Oryctolagus cuniculus: one gene and its partner. The protein of the gene in region 1 binds, or shares a complex with, the protein of each later gene. Links are inferred from orthologs where the notes say so. Each region holds a gene or a part of one and is shown on either strand. Other genes may lie near its edges. The genes, in order: DLD and DBT.

Evidence for each region.
Region 2: the proteins of DLD (region 1) and DBT are in contact, whole or in part, in a crystal structure (PDB 3RNM), measured with the Homo sapiens proteins. The link is inferred for Oryctolagus cuniculus from reciprocal best matches to the Homo sapiens genes DLD and DBT. Residues at the interface, in NP_000099.2 of Homo sapiens: Ser446, Thr447, Asp448, Arg449, Glu472, Tyr473, Gly474, Ser476, Glu478, Asp479, Arg482; in NP_001909.4 of Homo sapiens: Thr174, Pro175, Ala176, Lys196, Arg199, Leu201, Lys202, Glu203, Leu206.

What each region holds. Positions count from the first base shown.
Region 1 is NC_091434.1:136,264,322-136,270,644, reverse strand, and holds part of DLD (dihydrolipoyl dehydrogenase, mitochondrial), read left to right. Parts: intron 1-526; coding exon 527-627; intron 628-3,342; coding exon 3,343-3,486; intron 3,487-4,614; coding exon 4,615-4,716; intron 4,717-6,323. UniProt on the Homo sapiens protein: Lipoamide dehydrogenase is a component of the glycine cleavage system as well as an E3 component of three alpha-ketoacid dehydrogenase complexes (pyruvate-, alpha-ketoglutarate-, and branched-chain amino acid-dehydrogenase complex).
Region 2 is NC_091438.1:70,076,898-70,083,220, forward strand, and holds part of DBT (lipoamide acyltransferase component of branched-chain alpha-keto acid dehydrogenase complex, mitochondrial), read left to right. Parts: intron 1-2,668; coding exon 2,669-2,792; intron 2,793-6,323. UniProt on the Homo sapiens protein: The branched-chain alpha-keto dehydrogenase complex catalyzes the overall conversion of alpha-keto acids to acyl-CoA and CO(2).

The DNA of each region.
Region 1 (6,323 bases):
CTTGATCGGGGCCAAAAGTCTGAGAAATAATTAGAGTTGAGCTTCTTTATCTTATGCTTCCAAGTTCTCTTCTGAGTTAAGTGAACGATTAAAATCTAAATGATAAACCTCATTCTTTAAGTGTCTGTATTTGACATGTTCAAATGTGTATCTTTAATTTCATGAAATTATTATTTCCTTTTTAAAATTCTAAATGGTGTTTTACTTTTCGATTTCTTCTTAAATGTCCTCCAGACTTAGAACAGTCCTAAGATGTTCAAAGTGGGATGTAATATTTTATTTTGGACTGTGCTTTTACCCAGGGTCTACATTTTACAGTGTATAAAGATTCCATTATTAAGATATGATGTTGATGAGATTTTATCAGCTATGATTATCATACCAGCTATTAAGTTAAAATGTTAATGCCTTTTATAAAGCCTTGTAAACAGTAGGCTGAAGCTTTGTAGACTTGGTTTAGTAAAAAAAAAAATACCGCAATTCAAGAATTTAGATAATGATTACACATTTACTTAACAACTTACAGTGTCTGAAGTTCGCTTGAATTTAGAGAAGATGATGGAGCAGAAGAGTACTGCAGTAAAAGCTTTAACAGGTGGAATTGCCCATTTATTCAAACAGAATAAGGTTGGTGTTGAATATTCAGATTTCTGTCTAATTTGTACGTATTTGAAACATTCTCATTTGTTTACTGCTGATAGAGTGTTCTAGTTTGCACTTGACTACTGGGGTTGGCGGTGTGGCTTAGCAAGTAAAGCTGCCAGCTTCCCATACAGGTGCTCACTGGCTGCTTCACTGTCGATCCATCTCCCTGTTAATGGCCTGGGAAAAGCAATAGTAGATGGCTCAAGTGTTTGGGCCCCTGCCAACCATGTGGGAGACCGCAAGAAACTCCAGGCTTCTGCTGCCCACTTTGGGAGTGAATGAATAGATGGAAGACCTCTCTGTCTCTCTCTGTCTCTCTCTGTCTCTCTCTCTCTCTCTCTCTCTCTCTGTAAGTTTATCAAATAAATATATAACTCTTAAAAAAAAAAAAAAAAAAACAGAAAAAAAACTGATGTGATGCTTAACCTGACACAGTAACAGGTCTTAATATAAAGAGAACAGATTTCAGGTATTTCATAGGTACAATTTTAAGATAACTGTACTTCCCTTCCTCCTTTTCTGCCTCCCTGAATCCCCCTCATTCTTTGCTTCCTTTTTTTTTCTTTAATTTTTGCAAAAACATGTTTTTGATCCACTCTATAATCACAGACTTAATGCACCACTAACCGTAATATTCAGCACATAGATTAAAAAGACCACAGGAGTATAAACAAGGGTGAAAAATGACAATCAGATCACAAGATTTCTGTTTCATGCCTATAAATTTTTTTGTATGCTCTTAACCTCCACATATCAGAGACTATAAATCATATTTGTCTCTTGGGGAATGACTAATTTCACTAAGCATAATGGTTTCCAGTTGCATCCATTTTGCTGTGAAAGACAGGATTTCATTGTTTTTATGGCTGAGCAGTATTCCATAGTGTATATATTTTTTCTTCATATACTCATCAGTGTTGATGTACATCTGGGCTGATTGTATATCTCAGCTTTTGTGAATTGAGTTGCAGTTAACATGGGATACAAATAGCTCATATGGTGATTAATGTCATTTGGGCAAATTCTCAGGAGTGGGATTGCTGGGTCATATGGTAGATCTGTTTTTAGAGTTCTGAGTCATCTCCATTGCTGTCTTTCATAATGGTTGTTCAAGTTTATATTCCCACCAACAGTGTATTAGGGTACCTTTTCCTCTACATTCTTACCAGCATTTATTATTTTTTGATTTTTGAGTGATAGCCATTCTAACAGGGGTGAGGTGAAACCTCATTGTGGTTTTTATTTGCATTTCCCTGATGGCTAGTGATCCTGAGCATTTTGTCATGTGTCTGTTGGGCATTTGGATTTCATTCTTTGAAAAATGCCTGTTTGTGTCCTTTGTCCATTTCTTAACTGGATTGTTTGTTTTGTTGTTCAGGAGTTTCTGGAGCTCCCTATGTATTCTGGATATTCATTCTTTATCAGGTGTATAGTTTGTAAATATTTTCTCACATTCTGTCAGTTGCCTCTTCACTTTGTTGATTCCTCTGCTGTGCAGAAGCTTCTTTGCTTGATGTGATATCATTTGTCTGTTTTTGTTTGTATTGTCTGTGCTTCTGGGTCTCTTCCGAGAAGTCTTTCCCTATGCCAATGTCTTGCACAGTTTCCCCAAGGTTTTCCTCTAGTGATTTAACAGTATCTAGTCATAAATTTAGATCCTTGATTCACTGTGTGTTGAGTTTTGTATAAGATGTAAGGAATAGGGGTCTTGTTTCATACTTCAACACTCATAGATCAGATTTTCCCATCATCATTTGTTGAAGAGACTGTCCTTACTCCAGGTACTGATTTTAGCTCATTTGTCAAAGATTAGTTGATTGTAGCTGTGTGGGTTTCTATTCTGTTCCAGTGTCTATTGTGCCAGTACCAGAGTGTTTTGATTGTAACTGCCCTGTAATATATCTTGAAATCTTGTATTGTGATACTTCCGACTTTGTGTTTGTTGTTTAAGATTGCTTTACCTGTTCAGGGTCTCTAGCATTCTTTTCTGTAGATTTGCGAAGAATGTCATTGGTAATTTGATTGGGATTGCATTGAATTTATAAATTGCTTTGGGTAGTGTGGACATTTTGATGCTATTCTTCCAATCCAGAAACAAGGAAGATTTTTCCATTTGTATATGTTGTCTTCTGTTTCTTTAATGTTTTGTCATTTTCATTATAGAGATCTTTCACATGCTTGGTTAAATTTATTCCAAGGTATTTGAATTCTTTGAATGCTGTTGTGAATGGTACTGATCTTACAAGTTCTTTCTCAGCCATGGCATTGTTTATGTACACAAAAGCTATTGATTTTTGTGTGTTGATTTTATATCCTGCAACTTTACCAAGCTCTCTTAAGAGTTCCGGTAGTCAATCAGTGGAGTCTTGGTTCCCCTCTGTATAGGATCATGTTAGTTGCAAACAGGAATAATTTGACTTCCTCCTTACCGTTTGATTACTTTTTCTTTTCTAATGGCTCTAGCTAAACTATATTGAATAGTAATGGTGAAAGTAGACATCCTTGTCAGATTCTAGGTCCCAGTGGAAATGCTTATAACTTTTCTCCATTCAATATGAAGCAGACTTTGGGTTTGTCATATTTTGCCAAAGGCAGCATTTTGTATTAGATAAATTATTTACAGAGGGCTTTTAATCTTACTAATCATATTTATCAAAAATTTATTTTAACCTTTGTGAATTTTATTCTTTTATGAAGGTTGTTCATGTCAATGGATATGGAAAGATTACTGGCAAAAATCAGGTCACTGCTACAAAAGCTGATGGCAGCACGCAGGTCATCGACACAAAGAATATTCTTGTAGCTACGGGATCAGAAGTTACTCCTTTTCCTGGAATCACGGTACTTACACTTTACCAGTAATAGCCGTTACAATGTTCTTCTGGATGTGTGTTTTATAAATTTAGCTTATGCTGTTTGTGAATTTTAAATGATAGATCTCTGGGGCCAGCTCTGTTGCTGGAGTCTCAAGTCTGAGGCTGGCCCCTGACCAGCAGGGGCCAGTACAGACACTCCCCAACAAGGCAAACGGGAAGGGTAAGGTCGACGGCTGGTGATGAACACACCACACCACCTGTGAGTTCTGTCGAAGCAGGAACCGCTTTATTGAGGAAGTGTACAGGCTTATAAAGCTTACGAAGGACATGCGCAGTAGGGGAGCCAATCAGAGAAAAGGTCACACAGGCACGGGTGGACCCTGCACAGGGGCACCTTAAGTAAAGTATAGGGATCACGCACTGTCCACATGTCCGGAACTAAAGCAGACCTATCCCTGCCAGTGGTCTGATCTTACGTAGCTTAACTGCAGCAGCCGCAGACACGCCCCTCGAACATTCACCATGCGCCATATTGTAATGGAGGTTTTAGGCAATGCCTAGCACTCTGTGGCATAGTAAGCTAAGCTTCCCTGAGACACCTGCATCCCATATGGGCACTGGGTTTGTGTCCCGGCTGCTCCTCTTCTGATCCAGCTCTCTGTTAATGGCCTGGGAAAGCAGAAGAAGATGGCCCAAAGCCTTGGGCCCCTGCACCCATGTGTAGTATCGAGAGGAAACTCCCAGCTCCTGCCTTCTGATCGGCTCAGCTCTGGCTGTTGCAGCCATCTGGGGAGTGAACAGCAGATGGAAGATCTTTCACTTTGTCTCTCCCTCTCTCTGTTTGTAACTCTGCTTCTCAAATAAATAAATAAAATCTTTTTAAAAAATAGACTTCTGAGTGAAATACTACATCTTGACAGTCACTGAGCTGAAATCAGTATGAAAAAATTAAGAGTTACAATTTTGTTTTGAAATTCCAAATGATAAAATTCAGCATTTTTAAGTGGGATTTGATGAAATTGAGCTGGCAAGTATAGAAACCTCAAAATCAACAGTGAAGCAGTTTCAGTGATTTTACAGTGACATCATAGTTTATAAATCACTAGGTTTTTTCCAAATAACTTTAATCATTTTTCTTGTGTTTTTATTATAGATTGATGAAGATACAATAGTATCATCTACAGGTGCTTTATCTTTAAAAAAAGTTCCAGAAAAGATGGTTGTTATTGGTGCAGGAGTAATAGGAGTAGAATTGGTAAGTGATCCCTTCTTGGTTTAACATTATAAACCATTGATGTTGAGTTTTGTTTAAAAATAATGAAGAATTCACATTTTTTTTTTCAGGATAACCTATGTACTAAATGTGTGTAACCATTAACCATTAGAACAATCTCCTTTTGTTTTTTTGTTTTTTTCCAATCTGCTTCCCCATACCTTCCACCCACCTGTTCCCTAAAACTAGTCTCGTTCTTTCTGAATCTCCCACAGCCCTTCAGGTATTGAAGGCAGCTCTCATTCTGAGCCAACTGTATTCCAGGTAAAGATCAGACTCCTTACTATGACATATGTGATCTGGTCATTCCTGCTTTTCCATCCTCATGTTGGTCCCTCTTAATTTATGTTTTTGCAATGTCAAACTACTTGCAGTTCTTTGCACCCCATGCTATTTGATACCTTCTGCCTGCTCTGTCCACCTGGCAACTTTCCACATATCTCCAGTGTCCTTTCCCCTCCATTTTAGGTGGCCGTCCCCAGGGCTGTTGTGTCTGGTAATCATCAGGAATTGCTCTACTTCTGAAATCATAAAACTCAGGCATTTTGTTCTCTAACCACAACTTGCTGTCCTCTTACTCAGTTGTTTCTGGTGTAGTTTTATACTCAACTTTGCTAGGTTTTCTCTCCATAGGTCCACCTATGGTTTTTTTTCTAACTCAGTCCTTTCCTTCCATGACTGCTTTCCTGGCCAGTTTTGATTGCCCAGTTGTCATTTCAGCCACTCTGTGTCAGTCTTGAGTCACTTGCCTCACAGTTTGGTCGTATCTCCATGGCAGAGCTCTTGTCCTTGTTGAACGCGTCTCTTTTTTTTTATGCTGTTCCCAGTCTGCTGACTGCATCTGGAAGATACATGCCCTGCAGACAGGTGCCTGTGCAGTTGTTGGTCACAGGCCTGCGCAGGAACCTCACCAGCGTTGCCGACAATCTGTTATTTGCGTAGCTGGCACTCTGTCCTGGCCTCTGCAGTGCTATTTCATTTCCCACTCTTGGCAGACCCGCAGGTACACCATCTTTCCCTGCCCACAGGTTACCGTGTCTCTTCAAGATGGCGTGAGAGAGGAAGCGAGGACCCCTTCAGCCTGATGCTCCATATTCGACCATGCTTTTGCCTGACCTCACAGCTGTTCTTTTGCTCTTCCCTCCTGTTACTATGGAAATGCTTTTTCTCATTGAGATTAGTCCCTTCACCCGGGCTTGGAAGTGCATCATCTTCTGCCTTCTCGTGGACTTGATTTTTCAGTGTTCAGACTTGTTTCTCCTTGTGCTTCTCTTTCACTTACAGTTGAGTGTGGCTGTGTGTGCACTCACATGTTACACACAGGTATGCAGGTACAGATGCAGACTTATGTACATATAAAAAGCCTTCTCATGACCCCGTGTCCTTATTCAGTTACTAATTCCCTGTCACCTTCTCTTTATCACCAAGCTTCTTTCAAGAGTTGTCCATGCTCTGTTTCATCAACTCTTACTCCTTGGTCCATGGCTGCTTGTGCCAATAAATTGCTCCTGATAAGGACATGAATGGATTTACTGTTCAGTCTTCACTGCTTTCTTTGGTACCTGTCATCATCATTGTTGATTTTCTTG
Region 2 (6,323 bases), on another chromosome or scaffold:
GCACTTGGGCCATTCTCCACTGCACTCCCAGGCCACAGCAGAGAGCTGGACTGGAAGAGGAGCAACCAGGGCTAAAACCCGGCGCCCATATGGGATGCCAGCGCCACAGGCGGAGGATTAACCAAGTGAGCCACGGCGCCGGCCCCTAATTTTCTATTAAATGTTTTAAAAATATAAACTATGTAATCTAAATGAAAGTCAATCTATGTACTTCAGAACTTTCACTTACTGTCCTGAAATTTCATGACAAAGGAAGCAAAAGTTGATTTTCTCCTTTGATTATGGTGTTGACCCAGAACTTGAGTTGTGGGAGTTGAAGGAGAAAGGAAGGACAGACAGAGTGGGGGTATTTGGAATAAAAGTCTTTCACTGTCTCCTAAGTTTTAAGCTATCAACTGTAATTTTTGTTAGGCTTGATGTTTCCTGAATGTTAATGAGAAAAAAATATAGGTATCCTAAAGATTATTTGATTTAGAATGATCTTTTTAAAGTAAAGCTAAAATGCATGATTTAAAAGTATTTATGTTTTAGGAAAAGTATCTTCAGTTTATTTTGCCTTCAGAAATCAGTGATATGAGGTAGACATTTGGTGCAGTAGTTAAGGTGCCACTAGGGGTGCATGCAACCCATTTTGGAATGCCTGGCTTGAGTCTTAGCTACTCCGCTTCTGATCCAGCTTCTTGCTAATGTGTACCCTAGGGGGCAACAAATGATGGCTTAAATACTTGGGTCCCTGCCACCCACATGGGAGACCCAGATTGAACTCCAGGCTCCTGGCTTCAGCCTGGCTCAGCCCTGGCTGTTGCAGGCATTTGAGAGTGAACTAGCAGATGGAAGAGCTTGCTTGTTAACTCTCTGTCTCTCTGTCACTCTTTACCTCTCTCACTCTCCACCCTTCTCTTTCTATGTGTGTCTCTTCCTTTCAAATAAAAACTGAAAGATAAGTAATTTTAAAAATTTATTTAAAAGGGCCGGCGCCGTGGCTCAATAGGCTAATCCTCTGCCTTGCGGCACCGGCACACGGGGTTCTAGTCCCGGTCGGGGCGCCGGATTCTGTCCCGGTTGCCCCTCTTCCAGTCCAGCTCTCTGCTATGGCCTGGGAGTGCAGTGGAGGATGGCCCAAGTGCTTGGGCCCTGTACCCGCACTGGAGACCAGGAGAAGCACCTGGTTCCTGCCATCGGATCAACACGGTGCGCCAGCCGCAGCAGCCATTGGGGGGTGAACCAATGGAAAAAGGAAGACCTTTCTCTCTGTCTCTCTCTCTCTCTATCTACTCTGCCTGTCAAAAAAAAAAAAAATAAATAATTTATTTAAAAGCTACAAGCCTTTTTTTTAAAGTATAACAATTTAGAAATTCAGTGAGAAATCAGTTGTTTAAATGTATTGTTCCTATACATTAACCAAATTTTTTGTTTTATATTATTTACCATCATAAAAATTCATATTTATGAATATGTATTAAATGTAACTAGAATATATAATGTATATTATAATGTAGTATAACTTTAGAATTTAAGGACTAATTGCCACTAATGTACTGATAAACTTATTTGTGTGTTTGGGTAATTCTTGTTTTTGTTTTTTTTTTAAAGATTTATTTATTTATTTGAAAGAGTTACAGAAGAGAGAGGGAGAGACAGAGCAAAGTCTTCCGTCTGCTGGTTCACTCCTCAAGTGGCTGCAATGGCCAGTATTGAGCCAGGCCAAGCCAGGAGCTTCATCAGTCTCCCTTGTGGGTGGTGGGTGGCCATCTTCTGCTGTTTTCCCAAGCCGTTAGCAGGGAGCTGGATCAGAAGTGCAGCAGCCAGGACATGAACTGGCACCCATGTGGGATGCTGGCGTTGCAGGCAGCAGCTTTACCCTACGTCTCAACACCAGCCCCTGATACCCTTTTTGGTAAAGTAAAAGTGACTGTCTCCTGAATAAATGAAAGAATTTCAAATACATACCAGAAGGTTAGGAATTTCTATAGTTTTTGTTAAAAGTATGATTTAGCTAATCAGGTATTAATATTAGCAACAGTGAATTTTAACTTTCAAGATATGATACTGTAGTTTTTAAGTAGTTAGATTTTAATATAGACTTGAATACATTCAGGACCACTCATTTCTATAGCATTACATTATGCTAAAGTATCATATAAAATAGTTAAATCTAAAGAGTCTACTATAAAGTATGATACAAAAAATCTGAGTAGAAATTATACATGTTTTCTAGTATCTTCACTTGCTAACAGTTACTTCAGAGTTTTTTAGTTGTATTTCAGGAAGTCTAATTGCTTAAGATATGGGCTGGTGTGTTTGTTTATACAGAACATATTGTTAAAAACACTTTCATAAGGAATTTTGGTCAAGGATCACAAACATATGAACAAATTTGACTCTGAAGTTACAGTATTACAAACAAAAGAATAACAAAATGTTCTGTGTAGGCTAGGGTTTGAATTTCTTTGACTTCTTAGAAATATAGATACCATACTTCAGAAACTGTCATATACTTCATAAATTGTCATTGCTACGAAGTATTCTGGTTTTGGCTTAGGTAATTTCATATTTATATTGTGTTAGCAATTGTCTTACTAAATAATGGAATTGAAATTCAATACATACTTAAATAATCCATAAGTTCATTTATAAATACTTTTACATTTTGTTTTCTCACCTGTAGATTTGTGTTCGCTCTTTTCAAACACGTGGTATTGTTCATGTTTTGAAGCCAAAATGTGTGTATTTCTTCGGTTATCCTTCATTCAACTACAGTCATCCACATCACTTGCTGAAAACGACCGCTGGTAAGTATGATCTCAAGATAACATATATAAAGTAATGTGTTATATCTTATTCAGTACTTAGTAATCAAAGATTCATCAAAGTAAAAAATGCTGGCCCTGAACCCCACGTACTTCTGCCCTGACTCTCTCCATGTCTATCCATTACCCATTTTCTTTTTTCTTGCCTCCACTCCTACACTCCCAGCCCCTAACTTCTCCTTCCCCTGTCACCTTTCACATACTTTTCTTAATACTTGTGTCTTCATAATGTTAGAATTGGGTTGTGTTGGGCCATCTATTCTTTATCATCTGACTCATCTAAATGCAATAGTTAGCATTGATATGACCTTCTCAGTCAACATAAATCATAGACTTAATAGAAGTGTCTTTGTGTCATTGTACACACCATGGTATTGTTTGGTGAATGAAGCACTTAATCTGTGATTTTAACATGGTCTGATGAAACCAGTCTTAAACACTCCTGAACAGAAAGTTTCCTGCTATTATGCTTTACTTACCTTTTGCCCAACTTTTTCTACTCTCTATAAAGAACTTGAAGATTGATTTGGCAAGGGCATAAGAACATTTTTTTCTGATGTTCTGTTTAAAACCCTGATAAAGGACCCTAGACTTCTGTTATATGGCTAAGCTTTGGACAGATAATAGGGCCTTACTCTGTGCTCACAGGGAAAAATAGGGAATTCCGTGCAGATATCACCCTTGAGTTCAATTTCTCCATGCTTTTTTTTTTTTTTTAAGATTTATTTATTTTTTTGAAAGTCAGAGTTACACAGAGAGAGAAGAAGAGGCAGAGAGAAAGAGAGGTCTTCCATCTGCTGGTTCACCTCCAAATTGGCTGCAACAGCCAGAGCTGTGCCAATCTGAAGCCAGGAGCCAGGAGCTTCTTCCAGGTCTCCCACATGGGTTCAGAGGCCCAAGGACTTGGGCCATCTTGTACTGCTTTCCCAGGCCATAGCAGAGAGCTGGATCAGAAGTGGAGCAGCCAGGTCTTAAATCGGTGCCCATATGGGATGCCGGCACTGCAGGTGGTGGCTTTATCTGCTTTGCCACAGTGCCAGCCCCTCCATGCTTTTTTTTTTTTTTTTTTAAGATTTATTTACTTATTGAAAGGCAGAATTACAGAGAGAGAGAGAGACAGAGACAGAGACAGAGAGACAGGTCTTCCATCCGCTGGTTCACTCCCCAAATGGCTGCAATAACTGGAATTGGGCCATTCTGAAGCCAGGAGCCAGGTGCTTCTTCCTGGGTCTCCCACATGGGTGCAGGGGCCCAAGCACTTGGGCCATCTTCAACTGCTTTCCCAGGCCACAGCAGAGAACTGAATAACTGGATTAGAAGTGGAACAGCTGGGTCTCGAGCTGGTGCCCACATAGGCTGCCAACACTGCAGGTGGCAGCTTTACCTGCTATGCCGCAGAGCTGGCCCCTCCATGTTTTTTATCTGCCTTCCTTTACCTCAGCCTAAGGCATGTAAACCTTATTTTCACTTTTTTTAAAAAATATCTGTATTTTTTAAAAGTTAATTTTGTTGTTGTTGTTGTTGGGCTAGAAGCTATTCAAACAGAAACTCCAGCTTCCTTCTACAGCCTCTGATCATTTATCATGACCTTTGAGTTCCTGGATCCACTAATTCCAGGCTACTTGGGTTCCTGGTTTGCCAGTTTCTAGCTGTGTAACTGAGCAAGTTATTTAAGTTTTCTCAGTTTCATCATTTTCAAAATGGAAGCATTCATAATATTTAGCTCATTGTATAATAAGAATTTATTCATTCAACAACAGATACTTATTGATCGCCTGCTATGTGCCAAGGCAGTAGTTGAGGTAGCTGGGATATATCAATAATCAAAACAAAGATCCTTATACCTGGGTGGATTAAATAAATTAAAATATGTGAAGTATTTAGTACATACTTCCTCTAGACACTCATATTCTCTCTCTCTCTCTCTCGTTGTCCTGGCTCCAGTGCTCAACACTGATCACTGTTTTGATTTCTTTTTTTTAAAGATTCCTGTTTTTTTAAGATTGATTTATTTATTTGAAAGGCACAGTTACAGAGAGAGCAAAAATCTTCAATCTATTGGTTCACTCTCCAGATGGCTACAACAGCCAACTATAGTCCAGGCCACAGCCAGGAGCCTGGAACACCATTCAGGTCTCCCACATGGGTAGCAAGAGCCCAACCAAGCACTTAAGTGTTCTGCTGCTGCTTTCCTAGGTGCCTTAGCAAGGAGCTAGATTGGAAGTAGAGCAGCTGAAACTCAAATTGGCATTGCAGGCAACAGCTTGACCCATTGCATCAATGCCAGCCTTGATCATTCTTCATCTTGTGTGTTTTTCCCTCTTTTTTAAAAAAAGATTTATTTATTTGAAAGAGCAACAGAGAGGGAGGAGAGACAGAGAAGAGGGATCTTATATCGTCTGGTTCACTTCCCAAATGATCTCAACAGCCAATCTCGGCCAGGCTGAAACCAGGAGCCAAGAAATCCATCCTAGTCTCCCACATACTTGACAGGGGCCCAAGTACTTGGGCCATCTTTTGCCACCTTCCCAGGCAGGTTAGCAGTAAGCTGGATAAAAAAAAGAGTAGCTGGGGCTTGAACTAGCAGTCTGATGTGGGATGCCAGTGTTGCAAGTGGTGGCCCAACATGTTGCACAACCCAGGCCCCTGTTTCTCTCCTAAATTTCAGTCTTTTGTAGGATCCTATCCTTGGCCCTCCCATCTTCTTGTGTCACTTTTACAGATATACCTTCACCTACTACATATTGAACGTTCTGAATCTGTAGCTCTCAGACCTCACCAATTGTTGCTATGTATCTCCATTTCAATATCGCATGTATAACTCAAACTCCTCAAACTCAGTTTTATACAAATTTCCTCTTCTTCCTGTATTGCTTAAATCAATGAGTCAAGCTGGAAACCTGTAGTCAGCGTGACTCCTCTCTCACATCATATTGTTTACCAAAACCTGATCAATTTTACATTTCATACAAGGGATCTTCTAGAAGTTCACGGAAATTGTGCATTATCAAAAATCATGCATCAGTTTCAAAAATTGTGGCACCAAAACAGCCTTATCTGTTCAGTCCATTTTCCACAAACTTTATGAACTACCTTCTTATGTTTCTTAAATTTGTCTTATCCTTTTCAGTAAGCTTTGAAAAATATCTAAAAATAAGCTCCAAACCACATCTGAATGTACTTTATGTAAGGATATACTCCGTACTTTGGTTGCTTACCTTCAGTAGACCCTTGCTTCCCCTGCCTCATTTTGCTTCTGCCATTCCCTTCCCAACCTTATCCACCATGCACAGATTTTTTTTTTCCTGAAATGATAGGCTTAAAGTCACAGATCTGATATTGTAGATGGGACTCTGTGTTGTTGTTGTTGTTTTCCCATGATTGATTTACTTATTTGAAAGGCAGAATTAGAGGAAGAGTCAGGGAGAGGGAGAGATATCTTATATCTGCTGGTTTACTCTCCCAAATGATCACAACAGCCAGGGCTGGGTCAGGCCAAAACCAGGAGCCTGG